Linked DNA regions of Drosophila melanogaster. The protein of the gene in region 2 purifies or fractionates together with the protein of the main gene of each other region. This does not show direct contact. Each region holds a gene or a part of one and is shown on either strand. Other genes may lie near its edges. The genes, in order: Nubpl and CG1492.

What was found.
Region 1: the proteins of CG1492 (region 2) and Nubpl purify together in Drosophila melanogaster (affinity purification with mass spectrometry, with the first as the bait; one large-scale study listed by BioGRID). This does not show direct contact.

What each region holds. Positions count from the first base shown.
Region 1 is NT_033779.5:22,231,843-22,249,419, forward strand, and holds Nubpl (NUBP iron-sulfur cluster assembly factor, mitochondrial), read left to right. Parts: upstream 1-8,073; 5' UTR 8,074-8,089; coding exon 8,090-8,261; intron 8,262-8,311; coding exon 8,312-9,021; 3' UTR 9,022-15,146; downstream 15,147-17,577. Other genes in the region: RpL21 (ribosomal protein L21), read right to left, coding at 15,384-15,863. UniProt on the Drosophila melanogaster protein: Iron-sulfur cluster transfer protein involved in the assembly of the mitochondrial membrane respiratory chain NADH dehydrogenase (Complex I). May deliver one or more Fe-S clusters to complex I subunits.
Region 2 is NC_004354.4:12,004,415-12,019,327, forward strand, and holds CG1492 (uncharacterized protein), read right to left. Parts: upstream 7,798-14,913; 5' UTR 7,671-7,797; coding exon 7,580-7,670; intron 7,520-7,579; coding exon 6,534-7,519; intron 6,453-6,533; coding exon 6,259-6,452; intron 6,188-6,258; coding exon 5,680-6,187; 3' UTR 5,372-5,679; downstream 1-5,371. Other genes in the region: CG1806 (uncharacterized protein), read left to right, coding at 3,856-4,290, 4,356-4,482, 4,609-4,760, 4,827-5,158, 5,218-5,371; regucalcin, read left to right, coding at 11,105-11,152, 11,589-12,307, 12,365-12,557; Chrac-16 (chromatin accessibility complex 16kD protein), read right to left, coding at 13,037-13,459; Lsm12a (LSM12 homolog a), read left to right, coding at 14,767-14,911.

The DNA.
Region 1 (17,577 bases), on a different chromosome or scaffold from region 2:
CGCAAAGCCTCCGTTCTCCATTTGCCTTTGGCACCAATATTGCTGATGCTGCATGCGTTGACTTGCTCCTTTCAATTATCCCGTACTTCAGTAAGTCACCTATTATCGTAGTCATCATCTCCCTTTGGGCAAACGGCACTTGATATCGCCGCCCCAAGATGGCTTTCGTAGTGGATACCTCTATATCCATCTTCGTCGTTTTTCACCTGCCAATATTTGACAAATCTTCGGCAAAACACTCTTTATAGCTCTTTAATAGATCGCTCACCTGTTCCTGGTGGTCGGGGTCAATGTCCGTGTTAACATTAAACACGACCTGCTCCGCTGCTGTCAACGTTGATCCTGAATCTTCGGCAACCAGCATTTCCTGATCGTGGCAGATGATATCTCTGCCCACGAGGACATCATATGGTAGGACTTCGTTTGGTACCACCTGAATTTGCGTGAAGAGTCTCAGTTTGCCATATGCAAACTCTGAAAGAATGCACTCCTTCGATTCGACCACAGATCCTCCAAAGCCTTTCAGACGTTTGACTCTCGGCTGCCGTATTGCTCCATCTGGCACTGCTGCTTCTTTCATTAGGGTGTTATCACTGCCCGTGTCGATGAATGCTTCAAACTGTTGGCCTCCAATAAGAACTGTTTTCATTATTGGCGGATACTCCTTGTGATGCGACTCATTCACTTGAGCCACCGTTGACGATGTTTTCACCTTGCAATCCTTTTCATTATGCCCAATCTTAGAGCATTTGGAACATCTTTCCTTTCGCTGTGGCACTGTGCATTTTGCTGCAAAGTGCCCGAAATTATTGCAATTATAACATTTAACTGCTTTCATCTTGCCATCAGCATCGTTGTATTGCTTTTCATTGATCGTTGACGCGTTGTATTGTTGTTGATGTATCTCTTATGAAAATCTCAAATTTTCCAACGACTTTAGCAGCTCTGAACAAGTGCGTATGTTCATCGCTAATAATGATTTCGTGAGTTCTTTTGAATTAAGCCCGTTGATGATATACGAATTTATTGATGGTTCATCGACACTCGCACGCCGTCCAATAGCTACCATCGCATAAAAGTATTCAATTAATGACTCGCTATTGCGTCGCTTGCGACGCATCAATTCTCTGTGCACATCGGCCGTACTCACTAAACATGGAAAATCAAGAGCGAATGCCGATTTGAATTGATCCCATGTTTTTGCTACTCCACGCATCTTATGCTGCACTGCAAACAGCACAGCGTCACTTGTCCACATGTATACGCTTTGTAGTTGCTCTACCTTTGCGATGAATTGCTCCGATGTGATAGATCCCTTGATGGGATCAAAATCCGGCAGAATTCCTATCATTTTTTTGATGCTTGTAAAACCTTGACCATGAGCTTCTAGCTGTGGCGATGAGAGCACATTTTCCGGTTGCATCCCGTTTGGCGCATGTGTGTGTCTCGATCCATCCAGCGTCTGACGTAAGCGTGTCGTTTCTTGTTCCACAGTCCCTTGTGCTTGACTTTGTTGCTGCAAGCATGCCGTTTGGACCATCGTTGCCAAGTTTGCCACCATCTCCTTAAGTTCGTTGATTTGGGCTTGCATACTTGTACTTGCGTTTTGTTCCATTATATCGTAGTCGTCTGTCTCAATTTCATCACTTTCCAGTTTCGTCATCAACTCATTGATCTTTGCCGTTTTGTTTCCTTTGACTTGGAGATCATGAGCCCTCAAGATCACGTCCAAATCCCCAATCTTTAAATCCCTTAACTTTACACGCATCTTCGAGAGCCTTTACTTCTGCACGTCTGCACTCGTTGCCGTTCTGATTCGCTCTCTCGCCAAGTTTGTCGCTCAGTCCGTCTACGTTGCTCTCTCTATTTTCCTTCTATACCTGTACCCTTTGTGGCTTCGTATGTATACTCTTTTTTTTTTTTTAACCGTTACCGTTGTTTCTTGCTTTTTCCTTTCGATCAACCGTTTGCGATTCTTTGCCTTTTGATATTCCTCGCCGTTTGTCGATCTTCCTTGGTTTCTCTCTTTGCTCTTGTACAACTGTTTTGCTATTCCGTGCCGTATTGTTGTACGTCTCTAATAAAATCGTTTACTATTCCTCTTTTCCCTTATATTTTTTTTTATTCGACGTTTGCTATATCGTGCCGTTTTTCCGAATCTCTCTTTGCTCTTGTACAACCGTTTTGCTATTCCGTGCCGTTTTGTTGTACGTCTCTAATCCAATCGTTTACTATTTAACTCGTTATCTTTAATTCACATTTTCCACTTAGAAATGAATTTGTATCCCACTTCTGAATTGTCAGGTTGATCTTCATGTTTATTCTTTTCTTTTATTAATGTGTTACAATAGTTATATGTCTTCAGTATACATTTGCCATCATCGTTCACGCAGCGAGCACACGTCCGCACTCCCTGGCATCTCGCAAGCAACTCCCCCTCTCTCATGCTCTTCCTCTTGACACAATTATTAGAATGATAACTTCATTTATAAAGTTCTGCATCAGGATTTTGAAGAATATCGAATACTTCTTTTGGGAGGAGTTTCTTTTTTCCAAACTTACTTCGATCTCTTAAACAAAGACTTTAAAGCAAAGGATCAGATGAATCCATGAATCTGAAAACATCTGTAATGTTTGCTAGTCGTCTAAATTTCATAGCGTGAGATTTTCCTTCCTTTTAAAATCAATGTTCAAAGGCCGACAATCTCACCGATTGTGGAGATGAATTTATCCAAATAACTGTTGATTTCATCTATTAGTTTTAACCAAAGACACTAGAATAACACTAGAATTCTAGTGTCTTTGGTTTTAACGGTAAAAGAAATTGATCTAGGGCGATACATTCGTTTGATAGAAAGCGTTGTTTGTACGCGCTTTGGTCCGTAGATCCATCGAAGCCATAGCTCACAAATAATGTACAATTCGTTGTGTTTGGATGTTTACAAAAAAGTTTGTAGTTCAAGCAAGTCATCAAACAGGCCTGGATCATTCGTTGATAAACAGAGTTCTGAGTCCAAGAAGATTAGCAGTGACAACAAGACACGTAAATGTTTCAAGTGCGATGATGATACCCATTTGCTAAAAGAAGAAAGGGAGAAAGATGTTGTTTGTTTTAAGTGTATCCAACCAGGACATCGCGCATCAGAGTGTAAAATAGATGGAAAAGTTAAACAGGATCAAAATACAAATGTTGTACAAGATAGGAAGGAAGAGTTAAAGCTATTAAGCATTTTCACTCCTTCAGGTTTGGAGTTGAAAACTGTGCAGTATAAGTCAATGATGTTTCAAGGATTAGTTAATACATGTGCTGACCTTTGTTTTATAGGCAGAAGTGTTTATACTAAGTTGGGCAGAAATAAGTTGACAGGCTTAGCGAAATGTTTGACTGGCATAGGTGATAGCCAGGTGCTTACATTCGGTAGCTTTGTAATTTCGGTTGAGGTAGATGGTATAGACATGCAAGTTGAATTTCACGGAGTTCCTGATGAGGATATGGGTTTTGATTCGATTGTAGGAAGAAAAATCGTAAACAGCATGGATATGAAAGTAACCAAAGGTGGCACAGAGTTTATAAGTCGAGTTGTAAACCCAAAAAAGGTTGAGAGTCAGAGAATCCAGCCATTGGGCAAAGGATCATGTGCTGAGTTGTTTGTTGAATTCAAAAGTATGTGCATGTTGGGTGCGGAGCAGGCTGACATATTTAATGAGGTTGATATGAGTAGTGTGCAAAAAGAAAAAGCTTTAAGTCTAATTGGAGATTATAAGCCAATTCGAAATTGTTCGACTCCAGTGAAGGTGAAAATACTGTTAACCGATGATTTACCAGTAATCCAACAACCAAGACGTTTGGCAGAGTGTGAACAAAAGATTGTGGATGATCAAGTTCAGGAATGGTTGTGTGACAAAATTATAAAGCCGAGTGTGTCGGAATACGCATCACCAGTGGTGCTTGTTTCGAAAAAGAATGGAAAAAAACGATTGTGTTGTGACTATCGGAAATTAAATTAAAAGATAATTCGTGATCACTTTCCAATGCCGCAGGTTGACGTTGTTATCGAAAAGTTTCAGAGTGCTTTGGTGTATACGACTTTGGATTTAATCCCAGAAATATACCTCCTTTGTAACACAAAAGGGACAGTACGAATTTCTGTATGTGCCCTTTGGTATTACAAACTCACCTTTACTCGATTCATAATGGCAGTCTTAAGGGAACTAATCAACAGTGGAGATGTAGTAGTATACATGAACGATGTGATTGTGCCCAGTAAAAATGTGTGTGAAGGATTGGTAAAGCTGGAGAAGGTGTTAAGTGTTGCCAGTGAAAATGGATTAAAAATAAATTGGTCGAAATGTCAGGTGTTGCAAAAGAAGTTAACTTTTTGGGGTATATAGTTGAGTGTGGTACTATTAAGCCTTCTGGAGAGAAGAGAAGTCCTATCGTTAATTTTCCGTTGCCAAATGATAAAAAAGGTGTTCAAAGATTCTTAGGATTGACGTCGTATTTTCGTAGATTTGTCAAAGACTTTGCAGTGACTGCTAAGCCTTTGTCGGACCTGTTAAGGCAAAATACTAAGTTTAAATTTGATGTGCTGCAGAAGGTAGCGTTTGAACAGTTGACAGTAGCATTAACTTCCCGTCCCGTATTGAAATTGTACAATCCTAAATTAGAAACGGAAATCCATACAGGCGCTTCAAAATATGGTTTCGGTGTTGTATTATTACAAAAAGACCCAGAAGATTGTTTGTTTCATCCGGTTCAATACATGAGTCGTAAGATTAACCAATGCGAAGAAAAGTATCATTCTTATGAGCTTGAGGTTCTTGCAGTTATCGGTGCATTAATGAAGTGGCGTGTGTATGTGTTAGGTTTGAAATTTAAGATTGTGACAGACTGCAACGCGTTCACTATGACGATGAAGAAGAAGGACGTTCCTTTGAGGATAGCTAGCATTATACCTTCAAGACTTTGATTATCAAATAGAACATCGCTAAGGGACGAGAATGAGACATGTTGATGCGTTGAGTAGAGTACCATGTTTTATGCTGAGCGATACTGTTGTACATCGCTTGAAACAAGCACAATTACTCGATGAACGGACGAAAGTAGTGAGAAGCCTTGTAGAAAATAAAGGGTATGAAGATTTTTATATAGAAACCCAAATGCTTTTTAAAGATCCTAATCGCGAACTTATTGTTGTACCGTCGCAGATGGAAAATGAAATAATCATGATTGCTCATAAGCAAGGACATTTTGCTGCGAAGAAAACGCAAGATTTAGTTGAGAAATCTTACTTCATACCAAAACTTAAAGAAACGGTTGCTCGTGTTGTGGACAGTTGTGTGGAGTGTATTGTATTTAATTCGAAAGCTGGGAAGAAAGAAGGTTTCTTGACCCCGATTGAAAAGGGAGATAGACCGTTGATGACGTATCACATTGACCATGTTGGGCCAATGGAGATGACGAGCAAGCGCTACAACCACATTTTAGCTATAGTTGACGGTTTTTCTAAATTTGTATGGTTGTATCCCACCCGTAGCACAGGAGCAGAGGAAGTTGTAAGTTGTCTAGAGCGTCAGGCTACTAATTTTGGAAATCCTTTACGGATTATCTCTGACTGCGTTCACTGCACAGGCATTTAAGTTGTATTGTGAGGAGCAGAAAATTCAGCATCTAGTGATTACAACAGGTGGAACTGGGTTAAAGTTGAAAGGAAAATTTCTAGGACCTTATAAAGTTGTTAAGATAAACAAGCACGCAAGGTATGACGTAGAAAAACTTGGAGAAGGCGATGGACCTTTTAGGACATCGACAGTCGCAGAATATACGAAGCCGTGGGGAAATTCATTCGGGTCGAATGATGTATCAGGAGGGCCGATTGTGGGAAATGAACAAGATCAGGGAACTAAAATGAACGATGAAAGACAGAGCAAGAGAGTAACGCGCAGTGGCAACGCTTATTAACGAAAAAACCAAAAAGGAGGGACTTCGAGTAGAATGGTGAACGAGCAAGTTTTTCAATCGCGCTATATACTTATACAACTATTATTATAAATAAAATAATAATAAGCAAGAACTATTGTCATTAAACAATATAAAGTGTACTATAAACAATTGTCATTAAACAATAAAGTAACACTATAAAGTAAAATTACTACATGTATGTTTCACTACCTATCCTTTTTTTTTAATACAAAGGCCGTTTCTGCCTGCTTCGTTTTTTTTTTCGGAATTGAAGCAGCATGTACGAGAAGTACTAATTTGCTAATTTTTTTAGGTTGAGGCTCTGCATATTCAAATGTTAACTGTTTTCGACCAGCTTTGCATAGTGTAATTTCTGGCTATGAATAACGACAACAATTTTAGACGGAAGCCACAATTAATGATTTCGTTTGAATTTCCTTAAGTGCTTGTTCACATAAGAACTAAATTGGTTCACTTTCCTTAAAATTGTAATATTTTGCTCTTTAGGCACAAAGTTCTCTTCTAAATATAACTGTTAACAGCGTCTGCATCGTTGTTGCTCCAAACACTCAGCTGCACTTCATGACTAAACTCATACACACCTACAACATAAAATGTTTCGTAAAAAAGGGCAAATTAGGAATCCAAAAATGAAAGCAGCATTAAAATATCAGTCACAAAAAAAATTACATTTATACCAAAATTTGCGGCTTTTAACCCATAGTTGCCGCAATGGCAACAATTTATTCAAGACCCTTAGTTCCTCTTTTAAAACATCCTGACGACCTTGAAGTACTAACGCCAGTGCACTTCTTAGGCACTGCCCCCCTCGCCTTGTTTGCTGAGCCTGATTTCACAAAATTAAATCTCAACCGATTGGATCGCTGGCAGCGAATCACTTACTACCAGTTAATATCTAACGCTTCTTCAGCAACGTTCCAAATGGCGAGCACAGAAGACAGACGTTCAAATCGATAATGTCCTTTTAGTAAAAGACGAAAACCTGCCACCCCTCAAATGGCCACTAGCTCGAGTAATAAATCTGATCCCTGGACTCAATGGCGTCGCACGAGTTGCTGTTCAATAGAGCCGTCGCTAAACTTTGCGTTCTACCCAAACAGGATGATGTTGTCAGCTAGAGTCCACCAACGGGGGGAGGATGTTTGGTTATGCAGCCAAACTCTTATACACTGATGACGCAATTTTGACTTACCCATTTATGGATTGTTTTTCTTTTTTATTGAAATAAAAATCTATAAACAACAAACTGCATTCTATATAAACTTTTTATTTATAGAATTGTTAAACTTTTAAGGGAAAAAAATTTCCAAAGCTCTCGCTCAAGCCGTTTTCCAAATATCTCACGTCAAATATTTTTGCTCAGGGGGCGCTAACCTGGTTTTAATTTTTATTCTGTGAAACTTGCTCATTTGGCTTCTGCATTCAGTTAACAATTAAGTGTTGATCGCACCGGTATTGCTATGATACACTTTAACTCAATCGGTTCGGTACGGGCCGCCGTTCGATATACCCTAAATAGACCCTAAAAAAAACTGAAATATTACTTGAAAAATTAACTTTAGCGTGTTTATAAATTGCCACACCACTTCTCCACCACTTGCCTCAACATGTTCTTCATCCAAGCTTGGCGAGGTTCGCCGAAAAATGTGACAGTTTAAATGTCAGCGGCAGGCAGAGACTTTTCACAGAGTAAACCGTTTTACGAGTATTCTTGTACTGCTGTTACTACTGTTGTTCCACTGTTGAGTTTTGACTGGTTTATTTGAATTACGTGGTAAACGTGGTCTAACGTGGTATTCCTATCGTAAACAAACTGCTCGCTATAGACATTCATTAGATGGGTTATAATAGTATTAATAAATATATACCGTCCAGTAAAAATACTCGCTTTCCCAGTTTTTTAATCTGCTCAATCGGTCGCTTCAGTCGCCAAAGAAAAATGCTAAATACCTAGGAATATTAATTGAGCTATCGAGAATTATCGAAAAATGACTTCGCAAAATAGGAATGATGGAAATGTGTGAGAATCGGCTATAAAGCTGTCGTCGCTGTTTTCACTATGAGTTTTATTTTTAGGATGGAAAATAAATTTATCGTTTTGTAACAATGGAGCGTCTATTGATCAACACGATATGGCGCTCCTACGCAACAAAATTAACTGGGTCCCAGGTGAAGTTAATGGCGCGGGGATTGCCTAAAAAGCAACCGATTATTGGAGTACAAGATATTATAGTCGTTGCCTCTGGAAAGGGTGGTGTTGGAAAAAGCACCGTGGCAGGTGTGTACTCACATATTTCGATTCATGGGTTATTGGAGTCCTTTTCACAGTTAATTTTGCCTGCAGCTTGGCAAAACTAGGAAAGCGAGTAGGATTGCTGGACGGGGATATCTTCGGGCCTACTATTCCACTTCTCATGAATGTCCATGGTGAGCCGGTTGTGAACGATAAGAATTTGATGATCCCGCCGCAAAACTACAATGTAAAGTGCTTGTCTATGGGCATGCTGACACCTGTAGAGACCTCTGTTATCTGGCGAGGTCCTCTTGTAATGTCAGCAATACAACGACTGCTAAAAGGTACTGATTGGGGGCTTCTAGATGTCCTAGTTATAGATACTCCACCGGGCACTGGAGATGTACATCTCTCACTATCCCAGCATGCACCTATCACAGGGGTTATCCTGGTAACAACACCTCATACTGCAGCTGTTCAGGTGACCTTGAAAGGTGCAAGCATGTACGAAAAGTTAAATGTTCCTATCTTTGGCGTAGTAGAGAACATGAAGTACACCATTTGTCAGAACTGTAATCAACGATTGGAGTTTTTTAAAGACAGCCGTATAAGTTCTCTACCGCGCAAGCTAATTTCTCTTCCGTTAGACTCACGAATAGCGGATAGCAACGAGAGTGGAGTGCCTGTTGTAATAAAATATCCGGACAGCAAGTACTCTTATCTATTTACCCAATTGGCTGAGGAGATTACACAAATACTTAACGAACAAAGATGTAATCAAAATCAAAATAACAGTGCACATTAAAAAAAATTTGTGTATATCAAAAATTCTTATTACTTACATTTGTTATGCTGTACCGCTAAAACCAATAAAGTTATCAGGGGAAAGGGACTGTTGTTTCGTTTCCCGCATTTACATTAAACAACACACCACAAAACCATGTCATGCTTCACAGCTAAGACTAAGAGAAGGTTTCAAACTAGTTCTGCTTTTTGTGGATTGATTTTTGCTGGTAGTTTCAAAAATGTAACGCCAACTAGCTGAAATCCTCTTCTGGCTTCTTTAATCTAGATTGCTCATCTTGTCTGTGACAGATACAATCTTCATGTTTAAATATGCCCTCCTATAGCAAAACGTGTCCCGGATATTAACCATCTCCACGCTTTCAAACAGGCTCTGAATTCGTGCGCTTGTGAGAATTACTATAGTATTCGCACCTCTAAATTTGGATATACACAGCCATTTCTAATGCTTTTTATCCATCCATTTATCAATGGTAAATTGTCAGTTTTGGCATCATCAACTTAAGGATGACAACCTATACTGAATTGTGATTCCGGGTTTCATTTTTATATTCATTAAATTATTATTTATTATTATTATCATTAAATATATTGCCCGAGAAAAGCGGATTGCCAAAACGAACCGATCTCTGCTCTGAAGAAGACAACGAAGCGACAATCAACTACAGACAAGGCAATACTTGTTTTTCGTAAACCTAAAACAAGGATCGAATGTCGACAAAGTACTGAAAATAACTCAACTAGGCAGACATCGAGTCACTATGGAGCGTGCGCGCCGCAGAAAAGAGTTTTACAGTCTGAAATGTCACATTTTTAGGCACTCAACGAATTATTGTCTTCAGAATCCCATCCGTGGTAAATGTGCTGGATCCCACGTTACACGAGGTCATGCTTTTAGTTTTCTTAATATTTCTATTCTCACTTTGCTCGTTTAAATGGGGCTCAACTTGAATCAAATATTGCTAAGCAATATCTGAAAGGATCAGAATCAATGCAAGACCTTAGCTTTGGGAATAAATTCCTCTAGAGAGATTCTAGAGACGAAGACGCAGAGCTAGTTTGTTGATCCATGTTGCCACGCCCACAAACCGCGCAAAACTGCCACGCCCAAATTTTTGAACCATTTTTCGACCTTTTTCTTAATTTTATTGGAACAATTTTTAAATTTGTTCTCATTTTATTCCCCAATATCAATCGCGATCCAAGAGAGCGTTCGCTCACACTTGCTGAGTAACGGGTATCTGATAGTCGGGGAACTCGACTATAGTATTCTCTCTTTTTTTATTATAATTTCATTTACTAATGTACGAAATATTTAATTGATGTCCTTCAATTTTGGGCTGCACTACACTCTAAACCAAATGCGGCGTCTCGCTCTCACTTACACTTACACATATAAAAAAACACTAACTCAAATTAATTCATTATTTCGGACCGGACCGAGATCGCTGCCTAGTTACGGAATCTCTTCGCGGTCGAAAATTTGGCCTAAAGATTTTTATCATGCATGCCAGTTTTCCGTAATTTCATTTAAATTTATGATTTTCACTTTCCCGGGCCTCAAGGCCCTGTCCTGGGGTCCCACAAAAACAGCCGCCGTCCTTCTATTTTCTATTGGTGATCCAAACGGCTTCGACTTTGTTCTCTTGCAAGACCCAGTTGATCTAGGGGTTAATATTCCGGCACTGCGTCCAAATTATATTTAAATTATGTTTTAGAGGTATCTAACCTGAATTTGCCCCGCACTCGCTTACCCTTTATTCCGAATCCAGCACCTCGATAATAATTTGAATTTTTTTAAGGAGACCCTATAGAGTCTCCGGTACAAAAGGAAAAATGGCGATCTTGATCAAGAGCCCCGAGAGAGGACATCGTCGTTACAATCCAGTACAAAGACCGGACGGAAGAGATACTGGGCAGGCAAAAGGATATAAGATATAAAAAAGCCAATGTGATCAACACAGTGGAAGTGATCGACCACACACGTACTCAGTATGGAGTTTGTATAAAGTTAAAGGGAAAGTTTTTTTTTGGAAAAGATCCTCTGAGTTCATGAAGGGGTTCGGGACGAACATCCAGCCAGGAGGGCCGAAACAAGCCAGAAGACAAGTAGGCCAAAGGTCGCGAAGTGATCGTCAGTCACAAGAGAGCGTATGAGATCAATCATATTGATGAGCAGTCGGACCCGAGATCTCAAGCGGAACACATTAAATCCCACACTTTTATAGACTCATCAAAGTGTAAGCGTTGTCATTGATTCGAAACTTTTTTTTAAATAAATTGGCGATTCCGTTATAGGATGGCTTGCATGGGATGGCTTAGTTTATTCGAAAGAAACACACGTATTGCTCGAATCATTATATACGTTGCCCCGCATGGGGCATTGAACTTATCAATACGGTTAGCATAAGTAATAAGTATCGTATTGGACTTGTCGTTAAGGTTTAACAATAACATTAACATTAATAAGTATTTATCTTCTTACAGTCGGCCCTTCCTGATTTAAATTAACGTCCTCGCTGGACGTCGTCGTCCGGAAGGCGACACCACGGTTTGAGCTTATCGGATGAGTAGACGGACTTATAATGGCGTAGAGTCCTTCGATGACATATCGATCGTTCGTTTTTACCGTTCCAGTTGCGGCAGGCTCATTCTCCACTAAGATGAGATAATCTTTTTTATACATAGTCGGAGGATTATGTTTGGCATCGTAGTATAGTCTCGCTTTGACAATATTCCGTATCTTCTCATCTTAAAATTGAATGCTAAATAGCCAGTCTCCTTCGTCGATTATGGTCTTGGATATTTTTAAGTCGGCGTTGTTCAATTCGTGCGCTGGTTCATATGGAGATCGACTAAGCACGTCCACATGTTCCTGTGGAACATGTCCTGGATGAGTAGCCACCACCGGGCTGTTCTTGGGATGAGTTCGCGTTTTCTCAATGTTGTACGTAATGCGCTGCAATCATTAATGACTTTAATACGCTTGCTATACACATAATATGTAAACCTTTCCAGCGCCTCTACAACGGCGAGAGCTTCTAGTTCGTAGCTGTGCATTTTCCTTACGACCTTCGTTGTTGACCGGCTGAAGTATGCGATTGGTAACAGCTTGTCGTTATCTCGCTGCAGGTCGATCGAACTAGCGTCTGTATGAAGTTCGTGCTCCGCGTCTACGCGGTAGATTACAAGAATCGGTTTACAACTGAGCTTCTGTTTTAATTCGTTTAATGAGTCTTCCTGCTGCTGCTGCCATTAGAAGTTGACATTTTTTCGGAACAAATTCTGGTTTCGGAAATTCGACTACATCATTTGTCTTTACTTCTCCTGGGCTAAGACAGGAGAGTTTCATTATAAAATTCGCATTTGTCGATGTTTAACGTTAAACCACATTCGCTTAATGCGCTTAAAACCACTGAAACTTTGCCAGTCATCTCATCGAAAGAGTTGCTCCAAGCGAGGATGTCGTCCATATAGTGCAACATGTTGTCTTTGCGGTGAATCTTCTGAATGCGGTCGATTTGCGATCCGCTAACAGCTAAGCTTAAAGACTGATGAATGACGAACGATACTAACACAAATATTTTTCAGAAACTTTTAATATTCGTTAATCGTAATGTTGGAGAGGTAAGAGCCGTACCAAGATGCTGAACATAGGATGGATAGGCCCAAGTCCTTTTTGAATGCGAGGGCACTAATACGCAGACGTAACAACTATATGCATTTGTTTTTATTTTTCTGTTTGTGTGCGTGTACTAAACATGCCTTCTTCTACTCTTACTGACCATATCGTTTGTATTTTCTGATCGCATTTTTTCTCATCTCATTTCTCTCATTATCTTACATAGACATCAAACAGTCTTGAATTACTTAAATATCCAAAGTAGGCATATTTAAAACAGTTAACTTTGGTACTTTTCGAATTTGTTGAACCTCCTTCCGAGCTTAGAATTCTCACCTTTATTACCTATGAGCTCTTTGTTGGGATCTTCATTCAGAACGTCGTTCACTACATTGAGCCTTTCACATGTCGGTCAACGCAAAACTTACATGTCACAACTTATCCCCGAAATCTCTCTAAAGCATAACTGCTTTTAATCCAAACTTACATACATCTGTATAAATCTCTGTCTCAAGTGATCGTAAAGCTTTAGAACTTTTCCTTTGATTAACGCTATTTTTAACATTTCAAATGCTCCTTAGTGCTTTTATGAAAACTCATATTTTTTTGGTACTGTCATATTTATGTCTCTAGCATATGAAATACATTCGTCGCTGTACAGTTATTCAGCTCAGCTGACCCGCAAATCCCGCAACCTAAAAAACTGTCTTTCTCCCTTTAAATCCAGTCGTATCTTATTGAACTCCAAGAGCTTCCAACGCAACAATTCCACTCCATCTCTCTTTTCTTTTTTTTTTGCCGACACCGCGGTATCGATGACAATATTTAGATTCCTCTCAGCCAACCGACGCTCGATAAGTAATGCAGGGAACGTACTCAAAAAAGTCGCCGTCGTCCTCGATCGCGCTAAAGCGAGTGAGTTATTCAAGCTGGTATTACTGCCAGTAACATGACATCGATGTGATTTTTCATATGGGCATTGGGTTTTTTAATAACAATAATTTTGTATACCAATTCTTTGAAATCATTGAAAAAATTTTTTTTGAATTATATTATTATATATTTTTAATATTTATATTATTATATATCAATGTAGTTGTATTGTGAGGCATTGGAAACAGTACGTTTGTAGTACTACTCAGATATTGGCAAATGTTACCTTAACCGAACACACATTTGAAATTTTATTCCATGTAGTTTTAGGTGATTAAGTTAAGATATCTTAATTGGACGAAAAATATTGAGCCAAGATATGGGAGTTACAATAACATTTAACGCTCTAAATATATTTAGTGAAAAGTCCTTTTCACCTGTTTGATTTCTGAATGTAAATTTGATTTCGCTAGTGTCGATACTGATTTACGTGGACCAGACCAAGATAAATTAATATCATTATTACTAGACTACTCAAGTTTATTCTTAAGTGGTATTCCACAAAGAAGAAAGAAACTCGACAACAGCGTTCACTCTTTCACTCATATACCCCCCGAGTAAACTCAGAGGTACCAATTCGGTTGCACACTTGTCGGGTAACACACCCCCTTTGGTGAAGGAGATCCTTCTAGCTTAAGCAACCACAGCCACCATGAAACTCCCAGAAGGGGGCCTACCTCGCATGAGCGATGCTCATCCCATGGTACCGATTAGGGCTGGGTTGGCCCCCTGTTACATACTTTTTAACGACTCGAGGATACCCTTTTACTCTACGAGTAACGTGTATACGTGTATAAAAACCAAATAATGTGCTATTTCAATGCTGCATCTTTTCTGTGTAGTATATTTATATTTAATAAATTGTCCATTTAATACATTTGTAATACTAATACATATATACTGAGTTTCCGAGCTTGATTACATTTCAACGAAATGCCATCTCTCTGCGGCTTATTGCAGAAATTTGTAAGCCCAACCCAGCTGCTAATATATTGCACGGTCCGTTTGGGCCGTATCCGTACATCAACGACCACGAGAGGCTTGGAAAACCTAAAGCTATCAGCTCCAAAATTAACACCAGGATCGAGGACGAAAGTAGTCCAGATACATTTTAATGGTGGAGTATTACGAAAAAATTCTTTCATAAACCAATTAAATACAGCTGATCTTTCAATTCCGATCTGAGACGACGTTGTTTTTGCTAACGCACACAAATTAAACAATTTTAGTTTTGATGGATGTCGATCAACTTCAGAGCTTCAAAACAACCTATGGGAGAGCATGACGGAGATCACGATATGGTTGGCGTATGTGGCACTGAAAGGCCACAAGCCTGATGCAAAATGTAGAAAAGGCCAAACCACAGCAGCAATTGTCAAGACTTGGCTCGTCTGGAAATGCCCTCACGTATATATTACTCCAGCACTGTCCGCAGACATAAATGTAATCAAATATTCGCCGTAGCCTTGAGGACGGATTTGATTTTATCTTTCTTAGTCTAGCAGCAATTTCGCAACTGCGAGAAACAATCTGTGAGCTACTGTGGTTTGAGTGAATAAATGTTTATAAATAAACAAGTCGAGAACATTTTACTCAAAATGGTAGGTAATTAGTATCAAATGACTTTGAACATAAAAACCTTTCAATAATAAGCAGACGTTGTCGCTGATCAAAACTTTAGTTGGACGCCGACCTTATTGCAAAATGAAAATTACAAAGTCTGTTTATATTGGGCACATTTTTTTTGTTTACTGAAATTATATCAAATATTATTTCATTCCGTACAATTTCCGAGCAGTAAAATGCCTTTAGGCAATGAATTCGTATGGAATCGGGGCCAGAGCAATCGGTTCTTCAAGTTTCTTAACAAAGTGCGCCTTCTTCGGCTGTTCCGGCTGGCGCTTCAGACTGACCCATTGTCCCTTTTCCTTCGCCTCCTTCAGCAATCGCTCATTTTCCTTTACGCGGCGCAAAAAATCTTCGCGGCACTTGGAGTGGTGGATGTGCTCAATGCGCACATTGACCCGCTTAGCAAGGATTTTGCCTCTTACGCGTTTGTTTACTATTACACCAACGGCGTGCTGAGTCACATTGAATATGCGCCCGGTTTTGCCATGATATGCCTTATAGGGCAAACCCTTCTGTACAGCACCATGTCCCTTAATGTCAACGATGTCGCCGATCTTGAAAACCCGCATGTATGTGGACAACGGAATAACTCCATGCTTTCGGAAGGGACGGGAAAACATGTCCCGTGTGCCGCGACGATAGCCCTTTGAGTTGGTCATTTTTATTTATAATCCCCTATAAAAAAGAGGCTTATTAGATCTTTTTCAAGTCATAATGAAGAAATATTCAACAAAACTCGTTGAACTTACGTCCACGCGGTCGTATAGTTGAGAAAAGAAAGAAAGATGGCTACTTGAATAGCGTTGCCACTGATAGCAATTAAGAGTTTAGAAACTAAATATTATGTACCGTCCACACTAAGTTACACAATAAGCTTAATCTTTTAAGAGAAGCAAAATAGTCCCAAGTCTGAATATTTGGTATTAATAAGGATTTAATGCAATATTTATGTAATACATATATTTACATTATATAAAAACATTATATATAAAATTGCACTACATACAAATGTCTAGATACAAATAATCGCTGAGAGAAGTGTTCAACTCCAAGACGTTAATATGCGCTATGGGAATAATTTGTGATTTAAGCGAATTTGTTGATACAATTTTGAAGATACATATAACCTTAAGGAAGATAAAGTCCTGCCCCATTTAATAATTTTAATTTTCAGGAACCGTTCTGCCTAAGTCTTTACTACCGTGGGACTTACTCAGTATTAATTTGCTCCCTTTTAAGAAAAGTCATTCATGATCTGATAATCGTAATTTTTTTCGAATTCGATTTAGCCAAAATCTTTTGATTTCTTTTTTAGGTGCTCTGCTTTTGGAAAATTTGTTCTATAGTTTGGATATCGCAATATGCATTCAGCGGTAAACAGCTGTTTAAGCTGTTCCAGACAACATAGCTGCCACATATTTCATAGTTTTAATTACGATGTCCGCAATTTCTTTTTTGTGGCACTTTGACCACTTAAGTAATTAAATCAAATAGAATTATTTACAAACAACACTATTGGCTCTCCTTTAAATAAATTAATGAATTCCTTCTATATATTTTATATGCCTGTTTCGTTTCACCAACAATGTTTGACCCCTTGACAAATCCAAACTTTTGTTGCCGACATCAAAATTTTGTTAGTCAAATCTGAAGTGGCGTCAGCAATAAAAATTTTATTAAATAAATTAGTGGCAGAATGATCTTGTTATGATGTGCAATAAGCATCAATAGACCACTGAGTAAACTATTTCTTCTCTTGAGTAAATAAGTTCTGTTTTAATATGAAAAAAGGCATTTACTTTTCATTTCGTGTGTCCGCTTTACATATCGAAAAAATCGTAAAAAAAAAACCGAATAATAATTAATAATTAATTTTATAAAAGCCACTCATATAAATATTTAACAGCATATATGTACATGCCACACTGTTCATTTCTTAGCGTAATGAAATAGTTTAATAAGAAATATATGAATCTATATAGGCGAGATCCGCATAATTCATCGTCATAGGATAAATTGTTTTTTTTTTTTCTGGAATCTAATTTCAAAGATTGTAGTAGTTTCAGCGCGAAACATCGATGTTTTTCACAAAAATCGTGGATGTAACATCGAAGTTTTCCGATGTTCTCTAAAATAAAATTAATATTATCATTTACACTTGAAATATAAGAAAAAAGATTTAAATATTATTAAATTCATTTAATTTAATATGTAGAATAAATTAAATATAAAACGTATAATAAAATTACAATATAAAATCAATTAGATTTAAACTGGTATAACTGGTTATATTAGAAAATTAAAAATCAGTGAGAGCTGTTCAAACAGTTGCATTTTAAGGATATCTTTTTATATATGTACATTTTGTATTTG
Region 2 (14,913 bases):
TTAACACATTCTGGAACGGCAGAAAGTAAGCAGCTTGCAGATAACTTAGAAAACATTGTGGTTCTCCCACACTTTTCTTATCACTTCGATCCGAAAGCGAACTTTACAGTTATCCACTCAATCGGTTCTGAATCTAAAGTTATTTAATTGCACAAGTCTAGATGTAATTATATATGTAATATTTTATATATTATGCTTGCAACTTCTCTTTATTTTTGTAATTGTGCGCATTTTACAAGTGCTAACTAACATGTTTTGATGGAAGATCCTAATGCATATATTTTGGTTTTTATTGTGACTTTTTCTCGCAGTGTAGTAGCCTTATTTACCGCTCGACGAATGGCGGTTGCTTTTCGCTGGTCGCTTGGCTGTCTTTGCATTGTGGCGTCGTTGCCGACGCAACGCGAAACACAATATGCGCAATCGCAGAGCTTTACACAATTCGCTCGAGAGTCGATCCGATCCAAGCGTTCCATACGCTATATACTATACCTTCGCTGCCCCTTCAGCCCCCTCCACCGAGGCAGTTCATCCGATCCATCAAGGAAAACGCGCTTTTCCATATCCACCAGATGCTAGCCGCACCTTTCTTCAGGAATCTATCTATCTGTTGGAAAGAATCTTTTTAGAAAGTCCGTATTTGGATAGATTGATTGTTTAGAATTGTATATGGCGTATAAACTTATGATGCCAAAATGGCTAAGCTATAAAAAATTTTGGGTAAATTTCGCAATTAGCGGGGGCGAAAAGGCGCGTGACCAAAATCAGAAACAGTCTTTCTTTTGGCATCAAACAAGTTTTGCTAATTAATCTTGTGTCCCTTTTTGTTCTTAGAAATGTTGGCCTAATCATAAGTTTAATTATAAGTTTACTAACTCGAAAGCTCCATAAAATGGTTATTTTTAAACACAATTTAATATTCTATCACAAGAAAAGAATTATCTTAACTGAAAATCTTAGCTCCAGTAGTTATAATTTTTGGGAAAAGGGTATACAAACTTCGGCTTCCACGTTTTCAAAACTTCGCTGGCTAGTTGATTCCCAGCAAAGTAACCCAAGCCGAGTACACGTTAATGAAAGAAGTGCGACTTAAAACCCGTACTAAAACTGGATCATAATAGTAGCCGTATTCTGTTTTAATACCGATAATTGGCAATGCCCAACGTTCTAAGTCGCAAACTGTGGCAAATTGTACAAGTTAAAAAGGTGACGAACGGACTTTCGGATTTTATTTCTATAGTTGTCCTAATTCCAGGTTCAATATACCGCAATGACAAAGTGCTATTTTGGCAACAAAAAACGAAGCTCTGAAACTATAAAGAAAAATCTATAAACGAAACTGGCGATTATAGTTCAGCTAGCGGAAAAGGGAAGTCAAATTTCTCAGCTTTTTGTGGGAAGCGGAATTTTTGAAATCGCATATCTGTCAACGTAACATTTTCGATTCATTCTCAATCCAACATTGCGCATGATTAACAATTTATTATCATTATTCCGCAACATTTCGCAAAGTTGCATTGGTCCGTTGACCAGGCTTTGTCGTCATCTTCGACGTGAAAACAGTCCCCCTATTTTTTTTTCACCCATCTGACGTCAGTTTATGGTCTTTTGAGCCAGCAGCATTGCAATGCTTCAGTTGGCATATATTATTTAACATTTTTATGTAATGATATAACTAGATTAACTGCTAAATGCAAAGACAACTACAAAGCAATTCAGCGGTCTTGAAATCGAGGGCTAAACAAAAGAGTGGCCAACAAAACCTACCGTACTAACCATTTTAATCAACGTCTTAACGTCTTGCCAACTTGAATAAGAGCTTTTTATTGCTGAACCGTCCAAACCGAAAGCTTAGTATAATCAAGCTTGCGAATATCGGCTAATATATACGCAAATCCAGTTAAATGGCAAATTAGTGTTAGGTGAAATTTATCTACAAGTTACATTTCGAACACAGAACTAACGAAATACTTATGATCTATCTATGGTAAAATATTATACAAATTTAAATGTTGGCAAAACCTGGACATCTTAGGCTTGTTCTATAAACTAATAGATACTATAATTATATTATATTCATATATCTTATGAAATGCTATACATTTTATAACAAGCCAATTTTCTCAATGTTTAAATATATGGGTTCAAAAGTTTTCAGTTCATTATCAATGTAAATGGTGTGATAAAAAACGCAATTAGGCGATAATTTCATGATAATTTCATGAGCGTTATAAAATAACACAAGACCATAATTGCAGAAAATTTTTATATTTTCCAATTTTAAAGGGAGATACATATTCATATTAACACTAAATTCCACCTTCAAATGATTCTCCAAATATTCAAACCTCAGATGTAAGATATACTCATTAAATATTTTCACATATATTTAAATATTTATTAGTTTCTTCTGGGATCAGCTCTACCCCATCCACATTCCGCAGCAAACCGAAAATGTGGAAAAGCATCTGTTGCTTTTCCACACACTGAAAGTGGGCAATAGTTTTAACCTTGGCTAAAATGCCTTCTACAAGACCGCACTTTTCCCAACTCTCTCTCTCTCTAGCGATCTCAGCTTGGGTTTCGCTACCTCTCCGAGAGAGAGTGGGAGAGAGAGTAGGAGAGAGTGAGAGCGAGGTGTTGGGCAGTACCTGTGCGTTCAGGTATTTGAGGTGTAGCCATATGTGTACACACATACATGCATAGATGTGAGAGCATAAGTGGAAATGGCTCGCTTTAAAGCGCTCGATGAGAATTATTTTTAGTTTGTTTTCGCCTCTTGGTGCGTACAGTTGCACTCACGATCCGTCCAATCCGCTTATATTTTTATTTTTTATTATTTTTTTAGTTCAGCTTCAGTTCGATTTTGTTTTGATTTCAGTTCGTTTTTAGTTCAGTTTTTCTTTTTTTTTTTGTGAACGCTGCTTTCCCCGCCTTCGCTGTTCTCCATCGCAACGATTCCGAATCGGATTTTCGTTTTTCTGTTGGTACGACAAGTTTGCTCTTTATAAAGTTGTAAAGTTTTTTAGTCTGGCCCGCCCAACCGACGATCAAAAATGTTTTTTGTTGATTTCGATGTGTGTTATGTGTGTGCTTGTGTGTATATGTGTGTGTCCCTAAATAGATCGAAAGTAGTGGAGTTTGGCAATCAGAGGTTTATATATCGATTGTACAGCGGCAGAAATATCTTCGTATTTTCCCATTAAACGAACTCCGGTTCAGCGATCCGTAACTGTAGAACCCAGAAATTTTGAGAGTTCCAACAACCTGGCCAAGTAACGAAACCAGCAAATACCAATATCGTCGTTCTCTGGAATTTGTGAATAACTATCATTCCTCTCTCTCCCTCTCTCTCTCTCTGTCACGCTCTCGATGTCTGCATCTCCCTCTCGCCGATTGGGAGCATCATCAATGGGATGCCAACGACCCATTTAAAAACCGGAAAAATCTATGAAACCGGAAAAAAATGACTAATCTTAACGCACCGGTGCTTTGAATTAATAGAACTAGAAATTGTTTCAAAAACAGCTAAAATATAACAAAAACTAAATAATAATATATTGATAAGATTGCAATCTCAAAATATAAACATTTAGGATCTCATATTTACTTACGAAAATAGTTGCATATCCAGAGGCGTGGGAATTGTTATTGAAAACAACAAACCTTGAAGCATTACTTGATTATTTAAGAACTCATATTTCATATATGTAGCTGCAGTTTTGTTAACTAAACAAACATTTTTCTTGCAGCGAATGCAGCCGAGAGTACTATGCTCGTAGCACTTGGAGCGCTGCTTCCGCCTGGTTATCTCCTAGTTCCGGAATGTCCATCTAGCCAGGCGATTGGGAAGTCATGCCAGTGCAGCAAGTGCGTCCCGTGAGCACCTACGACAACTTGGGCGTCTCTCAGTCCAGGCAGCTGACGGCCGGAATGGCTGGCGAACCGGAAACGGAAGTCGAAGTGGAGCTCAATGGCAGCCACACCAGCCATAGCATAGCCGCTGTGAAGGCGGCTCTGAACGATGCCAAGTCCAAGTTCTTCGGCATCAACAACTATGAGTCACCCATGGCCAGTAAGAGTGCAGCAGTGACGACGATTGCCAAACCGGAGCCAAGATATCAAAATGTTCCGCAACGCGACGAACTGCCGGCAGTGGCTGCTCCCGATCCTCCAGCGCAACCAGCACAGCCGACGGCTCCAGTTAGCGATCATAGTAGGGCACTGCGCTATGCGACCACCTACGAACAGATTCCACTCAGCGACATGGAAGCACCGCAGGCATCGCAGGTAATTGACGCCATCTAAGCAATCGCAAAGTCCAAATCAAATGTCCAACTCTTATCCCAAAAAAGGCCGTCTACATGAGCACCACAGTGCCGCAGAACATGAAGGGCATGAAGATCGCCGGACGACATACGCCAACTCGCAACAGCCTCAGGCACAGCCGCATGATCGTTGTCAATCACAAAAACCACGACAGTAAGTACACCAGCTGTCTAGCGAAGCTATATGATGGAGTGTGTGGGTGTCACACAGTCATTGTTGATTTGGCAAAGAACAAACACATTTCGATTTCAATTACTCAAAGTTTGGCTATATGTACAGGTCTCCAGGCCACCAGGAATCTGAATATATCTCGCCAGCTTCTGGTTATGCAATTAGCTGTGGGCCTGTTCATCGTGGGTCTTGCCGTTTGGATACTAATCCTAGCCCCCAATGCGTCCATATTGATCAATCCGTATCTGAGTGGATTGTCGGTAAGATGAATGTGTGGAATGGTTGGATTAGTATGTATAATAAGAATGAACTTACCTCTCGCTCAGCTGCTATTGGCCAGCATTGCGGGGCTCATACTGCTGCGAAGGGATCACAAGATCACGGAGCACAGACCGCAGACCAATAGTTGCTACAAGGTCCTGCTGGCCGAGTCGTATGTGTTCACTGGCCTGGCGTTGATCTTCTGCTGCTTGGCCCTCGTCTGTGCGGCAATTGAGTTCGCGGAGCTCATCTCATCCGCAGACGGAGAATGTGGACCAACATCGAGCTCATTGCTTAGCTATCACAATTGCACCTGCTTGGCGGCAGGTGAGGTGGTGGCCAACTACTCCTCCGAGGCTCCAATGGCATTTGCAGTTGGTCAGGAGGAGGCGTCACAGTAAGTTTCGAACTGCAGTTATACTTAAACATTGGCATTGAGAATATTCTCATTTCTAGAAACGATGGTTGTGCCGAGCTTCGGATCGAATGGAAGTATCTGCTCGCCTTCTCCATGGCGCTCAACACTTTGGGCATTGTTGCAACATTCTTATACATAACGTTATTTATTTGTTGCCACCGCAAGCGAGAACACTTTTACACGTCTGTGTAGGGATATATTGTAACTTAAATTCAACATACTACTTAAATTATTTTTAGCAACTGATACAAATTACAAATAAATTATTTTTTATATCTAAGTACCATTAAAGTAACACAACGTTTAAAAACAAATACTGTTTGCTTTCGTGCGATAGCATCTAAAAAAAAACTAAATACTAACTTATTGAAAAATAATTTGTTAATTCATTCATATTTGAGCAATTAACGTGTTTGAATAAGTTTCTGCTGGAAAACATAATTAATACTTTGTGTAAATACTATATGTTTGGTATAGTTTGTGAAAAGAATTCGACTTTTTTAAAATCCACTAACTCCACCTGGCTTCCGAAAATCCGAGTTCACCCAGATGGTGTCGTTAGCTTGAGCGATTCCACAGATGACGGAACCGCGGTTCTCATAACGCTCGCATCGATGTCCCCTCTCCGCCAAGCTATCCACATAGCTCTGCCGTAGTCCATACTCGTAGAGCAGAACATTGGGCAGCATTTGATGATGGATGCGGCTGGCATCGATGGCGGCCTTGATGCTTGCCTCCTGCCACAGGATGCGCACGAGGAGGGGAGAGAGGGCAGAGATTATTTTGGTACCGCCAGCGGCACCCACAACCAAGCGAACGTTGCCAGTGGCGCGTTCCGTGACAATCACTGGACACATGGAGGACATGGGACGGGCGGCAGGAGCTACACCATTCGTGCCAGGCACGAAGGGCAGATCGAAGTAGTTCTTGAGCTGTTCGATGGAGAAATCCGACATGGCATTGTTAAAGATGACACCTGTGCGCCTGCCAGTTCGTCCACTGCCAAAACTGCAAAATGAAATGGGATATATATATATATATAGGAATATATATAAATAAGATTCTTAATATATAATTACTAGAAATTGATGGAGCTTGTCACTGAAACTGCATCGTTTCCATGGAGCACTGAAGTGTGCGCTGTGCCGTGCTCATCACGTATTTGAATTCCAGGTGAAGCTCCATAGAACTCTGGTCGGTTAAAGGTGTGTGTGTGGTTAATTTGCCTGGCCACGGATTTTGCCAATTCATGACTGGTCAAATTCGACAAAAGCTGTAGGATAAATCAACGAATATAAAGGGTATATTATTAATCAATTTCACACGAATTCGAAAGAGATGGAAATATGCTCACCTCTTCGCTCGCGGATTCATCCAGTTGCCATCGCTTGACGAATCCAAACTTCATTGCCTCGACCATCAAATGGATTTGACGTGGGCTCATAGTTCCGGCTCTTGAGAATTCCGCCCGGAACTCCTTTAGTATGTTCATTATGAAGCCGAGAACGTGACCACTTCCAGGTGGAGGAGTCAAATGGAGATCATACTCATCCAGTGGCATCACAATGGCGCTACTCAATTTGGCGTGCGCTTGGTTGAGGTCTTCCTTAGTTATTGCACTGCCCGCGTCCTTCAAGTCGGCCAGCAGATCATCGGCGATAGATCCGCGGTAGAAACTGAGTGGTCCCTCGTTGGCCAACCGATCGTAGGTGTTGCACAATTGAGCCGCAGGGCGAATGAGATGACCCAATGGCCAGAAGCGCCCGGTGTCGGGATCGATGAACATCCGGCGTAGGCCGGAATCGGCCCTGATCATGTCCTGATTGAGTATGAGCGCATCATACTGGTGCTTATACAATCGATAGCCACGACGACACAATTCCAAAGTTGGCAGCACCAAATCCTTCCACTTTAGCCGCCCGAATCTCTGGTGGGCCACCGCATAACCGGCCAATTCAGCTGGCACGGCAATGGACCATCCGGATCTCTTGAAATCCTGCTCATCGCGAAATGACGAGAAGTTATCCGCACGCAATGCCAGCGGCGCCATTTCCCTGGCCAGAATGCTGTAGGATTTGTTCTCCTTGGCCACATAAACATTCATCACCATGCCGCCACCGATGCCCATGCTCTGCATCCCGATGAGTCCGTTGCAAATGAGAGCAGCCAAGGCGCCATCCACAGCACTTCCTCCATTCTCCAGGACTTTTTTGGCCAATTGGCTGCACACATCGCTGTCGGAGCAAATGGCCGCCCGGGAGAATCGATGGAGCGGCGAATTGGAGGGCGGCAGTGGATCCTCCGGATTTGGCGGTCTCCTGGACGCCTTCTTTTTGCCAGCTAGAACAGAAATGTGAATTAATTGTGGGCAAGGAGCTGCTTCCTGGTCGTTGTACCCACCATTTCCGTCCGGATACCGGTAGATATAGACTGCCACCAGGATGACAATCACCACGGATATCAAACTATTCAATCCTATCCTAATGTACATCGCTAGCACCTAGATTTACATTGTTCTCAACCCCATTGCCGCACCATTGCAGTTCAAATGGAAATATCCATATCCTTTTCATTTCAAAAAACAGCTGTTCTCTGCTGTTTTCTAGTGGTCATACTGCCGTCGATAGGCCAAAATAATCGAATATACTAAAATTTTGAAAAAACTCGACCGCCTTACGTTCAATATACCAAGCCGAATTTCGCGCGTTTTAATTTAAAATGTGTGCCCCTTGTTATCGAGTGTCAGCGTATGCGCGTTGCCAGACAGCTGGCAACTCCAATGAGTGTAGAAGGTGGCAGCCCTTTAAGGCACCAGCTGACCCCATAGAGCGTTTTTGTTGTTCTATCTTTTATCTTTTCTTTTACCGTTTTGTTTAGTAATTATCTTGCTTAATTTAACCGTAGTTAATTGTGATTTGCTAATTGCTTATCTTCAGTAAGTAACCACAGGTTGCAAGGTGATGCACAGACGCTGCAAATCTGTCTAATTTGCACAATTATTATAACCTTGACATAGAACAGGGGGCAATAACATTATCGATGAAAACAACAACAAAAAACCGTTTCACCAAGCGCTGTTTACTTCTTACATTGCGTTGCCAATCTTTTTGAATGTAACGGTAGTTCGGCAACAATATGTTTTCAATCCAAAAATCTATTTACGTATATAAATATAAGCAAACATATAACATAACATATATAACATTTATAACATATATCGTATTTTTTATGCTTTAAAGTTAAGTTCAGACTTATCCAAAAGCAAAACGCCCCAAAATCGCACAAAAATCGCGCAAAAATGAACCAAAGCGAAACGGTAAAATATATTTTATTCAGACGCGTTTTGGACGCGACTTTACGCGTTCGGCGCGTTTTTCGTGCGGTTTGAAGGCGTTTTTTGGCTTGGGATTGTAATATAAAGAACAGAACCATTTAAAATAACTTCTTTAGATACATATTATCAATAGAAGCTAAATAATCTATATTCCCATTTAAAATCATACCTCTAGCAACAGTCCAACACAACGAAAAGTAATAATTAGCTTCCAACAGCTGTTTTAAAATTACAAACAAAATGAACATTCAAGTGCTTAGCATTTGGATTACGATTTATTTAGATTTATTGCTCACGACCCTAGCGAATTTGGTTGGTAAAAGGTCGCGCTTTCCTTATCAATAATGCCCATAAATCTTACAGCAATTAATTAAATAACAATTCGGTAAATAAAGTACCGCTGAAAATAGAAAAACACCAGTCAGGGGGCAAACCTGTATGCCAACCGTCTGCCGATAAGCAATCCATCTCTTGGACCGTTCAGATTCGGACTTGAATTTGGATTCTGTCCAGTCATGGTTCCCAGTACCATGCCCATGCCCATGCCCAATTCCAAACCATACCATACCCATACCATGGTCTGGGTGCAAAGGGCAGCGGGAGATGCGCCATAAATAACTTGGCACTGTGGAGGTCACTTGGGCAGCTGATACCATGGACCACTAGATGCCGCGCCATGCCACCGCATGCACCATGTACTTGGAGATCCATCCTTTGGCACTTTGGCACAGTGGCTCAGATGCGATTTATCGCCGCCGAGCTGCAACTTATCTCTCGTCCAGCGGAAGCATAGAAATGCGCTCAAGAAATGAGAAACATTGAGAAAGTTTCAAGTTTAAAATTTAAATTTAAATTTATCGCCACTCGCCCACTCCTGTGCATTTATTATTGTAGAAATTAACCCCATAACTTTTACTAAATCTGCTCAGCTTAAGTTTCAGTTTTATGATTAGTTAAAGTCAGGTGAAAAGTTAAGTTTAGCCAGCTGAAAATTGAAGTTGATTAGTTAGTTTAATCTTAATGTTGCACTTAAAAACACACAGGTTAAATTTGGTTTGAAAATTTCATTTTTCATTATTACTAAGATACTTTTATAAATTTAGGGAGCCTAATTATTCTGAAAATCATTTCCTAACATTTAGGCTTCAGTTTCTGTTTTCTGTTCAAAAAGTGTTCAAACTTTGAGCTGCTTAAACTCGAAAACTTCTCATTACGCTTTTCAAAACTGTAATGCTGCACTTTCGCAATCTGTTTTGGAATATTTTTTTTTTTGCAATTTGCCATCGGGTTAATTTGCCCGTTGGCGACTTCTGTTGCTCTGTTATCAGGCCGGGCTATCCAGCCCTCCAATTCTCCGCTTATCAGTGGGCGAAGGAGGAGGAGGTGAAGGTGGAGGCGGAGTAGAGGAGGTGGAGGTGGAGGAGGTTTTGGCGAGATTGTGTGTCACGCCCGTGCCAGCTGGGGTATATAAGAATTGGGCCGGATCGGGTGGCATTCAGTTTGAACGCGCTACTCAACGGAGCCGTGTCCAAGGATTCTCGATTCTCTATTCTCGATTCCCCATCTCTCAGCTCAAGCTTAAGCTATCTCCAAGGTAGGTGCTCTCCTGCAAGCGTTCCCCGTTTTTTTTTTTCAAGTGTGTTAAAGTGATGCGAAAAAGAAGGCATAGTTTATACTGAAGACTTTTTCGAAAAAACGGAAGCATTATTAAAATTAAATAGAAATTTATGAGCTTGCACAAATTAAATTTAAATTTGGTAAAAAATATAGCTCGAATATTTTCCTTCTATTAAATGTGCTATTCAAAAACTTTTTCCCTTTTTTTTTAAATTTTTTTTTTTTTTTTGTATTAAAAAAATTTCGAAATGAGAGACTTCAGCACGGATTAAGTACTCAATTATTTTCACATGCTCCACACATCTGAGCAGCTACTTGTGAATTTGGCATTTTCGAACGCTCTTGCCCCACTGTGCCCTCTACATGTGTCCGATAACAGAAGTGCCTGCCAGTGAGCATCTCTTTAAGGTCTCCACTTGACCAATTCAATAACAGCAGCCGAATGACAACAAAAGTCAATTAAAAATCGCTAAATGCCAGGCGCAATCAAACTTAAAAGTTAATCGCAGCATCTGTTGTTGTTGTTGTTGTTGCTTTTGCTTTTGTTGAGTATGTGAGTGTAAGTGAAGGGCATGACGTCACAAGAGCACAGCTGCAACGCACAGTGGAACCATTGCTCGATAAAGCTAACGAAAAATTGTAGCTTTGCATACAGAAAAAAACATGTTAATTGTATGTATTTAAATTGGAAATACTTTTTACTAAATTGATTAAAAATATAAAACCGGAAAGTGGCATATGTTACAATCGAAAAAAAAAAACTCCATTGTGCTCCACCGTCGGCCTTTGGAAAAATTGAACTTAAAACATGGAAATGGAAGTAAATAAATAATCTCGCATTGTGTTCCGCTTGCGATGATGACGATGCCGCCGATTCTCAGCCAGTAATGTCAAGCCCCTGGTCTGGAGGTAATAAAAGCAACTCCGAGCGATGGCTTTGGGCTCAGTTTGGATTCGGAGCCAACGAGCGCAAGATGATGTTACTGATTCCCGTGATTGCAGTGTGCCTTTTCGGCCTAACGGTACTGCGTCTATAAGTAGGACCAACTAAAGAAATTGAAGAAAAAAAGTGTTACGAAAGTCAAGTGTTTGAAACTCTACAAAAAATCGCATATTTAAATGAATATTTAAATTAAATTAAATGATTAATTTAATTGCTCATTGCTCGCATATAAATTATCCTGATAATTCTATTTTATCGCAATGTTGACAGTTTGAATTATTAGTTTTTCGCTTTTGTGCGTAATTTTCTGATTTAATCCTACATCTAAATTCGAATTCTCTGTACTTCTTAATTGTTTAATTCAATTTAAAATCTAATTAAAATGGCAACCATGATAATGATAACCATGAAGTGCTATAATGCATTCCAAATGCCACTTTATATCCACTATAAATCCATATAAAATCAATTAGATGCACTAATCGCAAATCGGTTGTTCCCAATTTCGCCAACAGATGTCGTACAAGGTGGAACCATTGCCCGATTCCTACGCCGGCCTGGGCGAGGGTCCCCATTGGGATGTGGCCAGGCAGAGCCTGTACTACGTGGATTTGGAGGCAGGCAGCCTGCTCCGCTACGACTATGCGCAGAACAAGGTCTACAAGACAAAGATCGAGGGCGAAACCTTGGCCGGATTCGTGCTGCCGGTGGAGGGACGTCCGCAGGAATTCGCCGTCGGCTGCGGTCGACGCGTGGTGATCGTCAACTGGGATGGCGTCTCGCCCAGCGCCAAGGTGGTGCGCACACTGTTCGAGGTGCAGCCACTGATGGAGAAGAATCGTTTGAACGACGCCAAGGTTGATCCCCGTGGTCGCTTCTTTGGCGGCACCATGCGCTACATTGGCGATGAGTTCGAGTTCCGTCACGGCGAGCTGTACCGCTGGGAGGCCGGTGGCCAGGTGTCGGTGATCAAGGGCGATGTGGGCATCTCCAATGGACTGGCATGGGACGAGAAGGCCAAGAAGTTCTACTACATCGATACCACCGACTACGAGGTGAAGTCGTATGACTATGATTTCGAGACCGGCGTGGCTAGCAATCCCAAGGTTATATTCAATCTGCGCAAGAATAGTCCCAAGGATCATCTGCTGCCCGATGGCCTGACCATCGATACCGAGGGCAACCTGTATGTGGCCACCTTCAATGGCGCCACCATCTACAAGGTTAATCCCAAGTGAGTAGTTCACTCTAACATTCGTGATCGAGTGTTAAATGTCGTACTTCATTGCAGCACTGGCAAGATTCTGCTTGAGATCAAGTTCCCAACCAAACAGATTACCTCCGCCGCCTTCGGTGGCCCCAACTTGGACATCCTGTACGTGACCACTGCCGCCAAGTTCGATCAGCCCGCTCCAGCTGGCACCACCTACAAGGTGACCGGACTGAACGCCACCGGCTATCCCGGCGTCAACCTGAAGGTCTAGGAGCTGCAATCTCTATCTATCCTTAGCCGCAGTAAAATGTACCAATCGAATCCAAGTGCAATTATATGTTATGCTCTTTAACGTTTTAAATCGCGTCTATCAATGTTTTGCATGCTAGTTAGGTTATCCTTTTTTGCAGTTCTAGTTCAAGGTCAGCTTAAGGATCACATTCTCTCCTGGGAATATCCAGGATCATCATGTAAACTCACAAAGAGGTTGACTATGCTCTACTTTACTCTGATTTCAAACAACAATCTTATCAGCCGCAGACACACGGTAATCATCCGCGGATCTTATGGTCATTTGGAGGACGCAGTGCTCTTATGCTTCTTTATTAATCAGTGGTTCTATAAACAATTTTATACTTATCGTCTAGTCTAAAATTAAAGATAGCAAGGTGGCGTAAAAAATCAGTCGATGTTTTGGTGAATGGAGATCATCCACTCAATTTCGGTGTAGATAAACATCTGCATGACCGTCTATTCATCAGACTCCGATTCCGATTCGGACTCTTCTTCATCGTCATCATCGTCGTCGTCATCGTCGTCGTCGCTGCCGGCGGAGCGATTTAGCCGCAGCATCTCCTGGAACTGGTGTACACGGATCTTTTGCGGCACGATCTGCAGCAGAAACTCCAGATTCTTGTTCTTATTGACCACCTGGGAGAGATGCTCGTACTTGAGCGCTTCGCCCGGTCGCTGGCCGAATTCCTCCGTGTATGCCGCGCCCGCCAAATGGCGAACGAATAGCTCCGTGCACTTGGTCATCAGGAAGAGCACCTCGTTGGTGATCAAGCCCGTGTCCATGGAGCTCTTCATGATCGTTCGCACGCGGCTGAGGGGCAGAAAGGTTTCCGCGGTCGGTGGACGCTCCACGGGTGGTTGGCTCCTTGGTTCGCCCATTTGTTTACTTAATTCCCAAGCAAACTATGGCTTGGGAATTTTTTTGGTTTTAGAGCTGGGCTCACAAGTGGAGCTGTGAAACTATCGATGTTACAATCGAGGCATGAAATTCGTACCTTTCTGAGACACTATCGATTCTTTTTTTTTATTTGCTATCGATGGTTATGGTTTATGAAGACTTAAAATAAGTAACCGCAGGGCTTCCCTTAAAACGAACAATGCTGGCATACTTCTATTTTTGCAAGGAATTGGATGTGCACAATAATATATGTGTTACTTTCTCAGAATTAAGTTATAGCGCTAAATATATAAAAATTGAGAAACCCATTCGGATTTGCCTATACTTTCAGCTCTAGCTGGAGCGGGAATTTAACCAAATAACGTTGCGCCGATATGCTATCGGTAGCCACAACAAGTATTTAATAAAAGTTTTCCAAATATTTCAATTTATTAGTGGAAAAACCGCTCTAAGCAAATACCTTTAACTTAATCAAGAGATTAGGGGTAAAACGATTAGGATCTGCACGATTTATAAGGAAACATTCAATTGCAACAACATTTAGACAAGTCAATATTATCTACTTTTGTCTTTTCAGTATGCAATCAACTTTGGATTTTCACACTTATAGCTTAAAAATCTGTCTTCATTTTCGAACTCACATATAAATAAATATCAATAAATTATTATTGCACTTGATTTGTTTGCAGCAACGTTGCCAGACTTCCGTAATCGATGACTATCGAACCTATCGCTGCGCGGCATGTGCAACACTGCGTTTTCTGCTGCCCCCTTTTGGCTGTTGTTTCGTGTGTTGACCAATAAATTTTTCGCGTACTTTTCCAACTTTTCAATTACCGAACCGCAATTGCCGCCAAAATAGATAGCCGATAGCTAGTCGAGCGAGTAACCAGCGAGTTTTTGGCCAATTCACGCGACGATCAGGGGCAGTGGAAGCAGGAGCAGGATCTCGACCAGATCGCCAGGAAGCGACATTTCCATTAGAGCGGTTCAAGTGAAAGCGAGTGAGCTGCACGGCACGAGAGAACGAGACAGACAGACGGCGAGAGTGAGAGCGAGCGAGAGAGCTAGTTAAATCCTTTCGAGAATTCCAGGAATTCAAGCATCCAAAACAGCTGCTGCTGCCGCAAAATCATCAACATCATCACCATCGCTGTTTGTGAAACGTTGTTCAAGCAACGGCGTGCCAACAAACCAGTATCGACATTTAGATCTAGATTCGAATCCCCTATCCACATAGCTTGTGGGTGCACTTTTCCAGTTGGCCAATCTCAACCAGCAATTAAAAATGGCCGCTGCCGCTGCGAGCGCAGTGAATGCAGTGAACGACTGCTTCAGCATCGGATCCACAGTCGTCTGTACGACCTGTTTCAACGAGGAGGTGGAGGGCGAGGTGCTGGCCTTCGATCACAACACAAAGATGCTTATCCTGAGT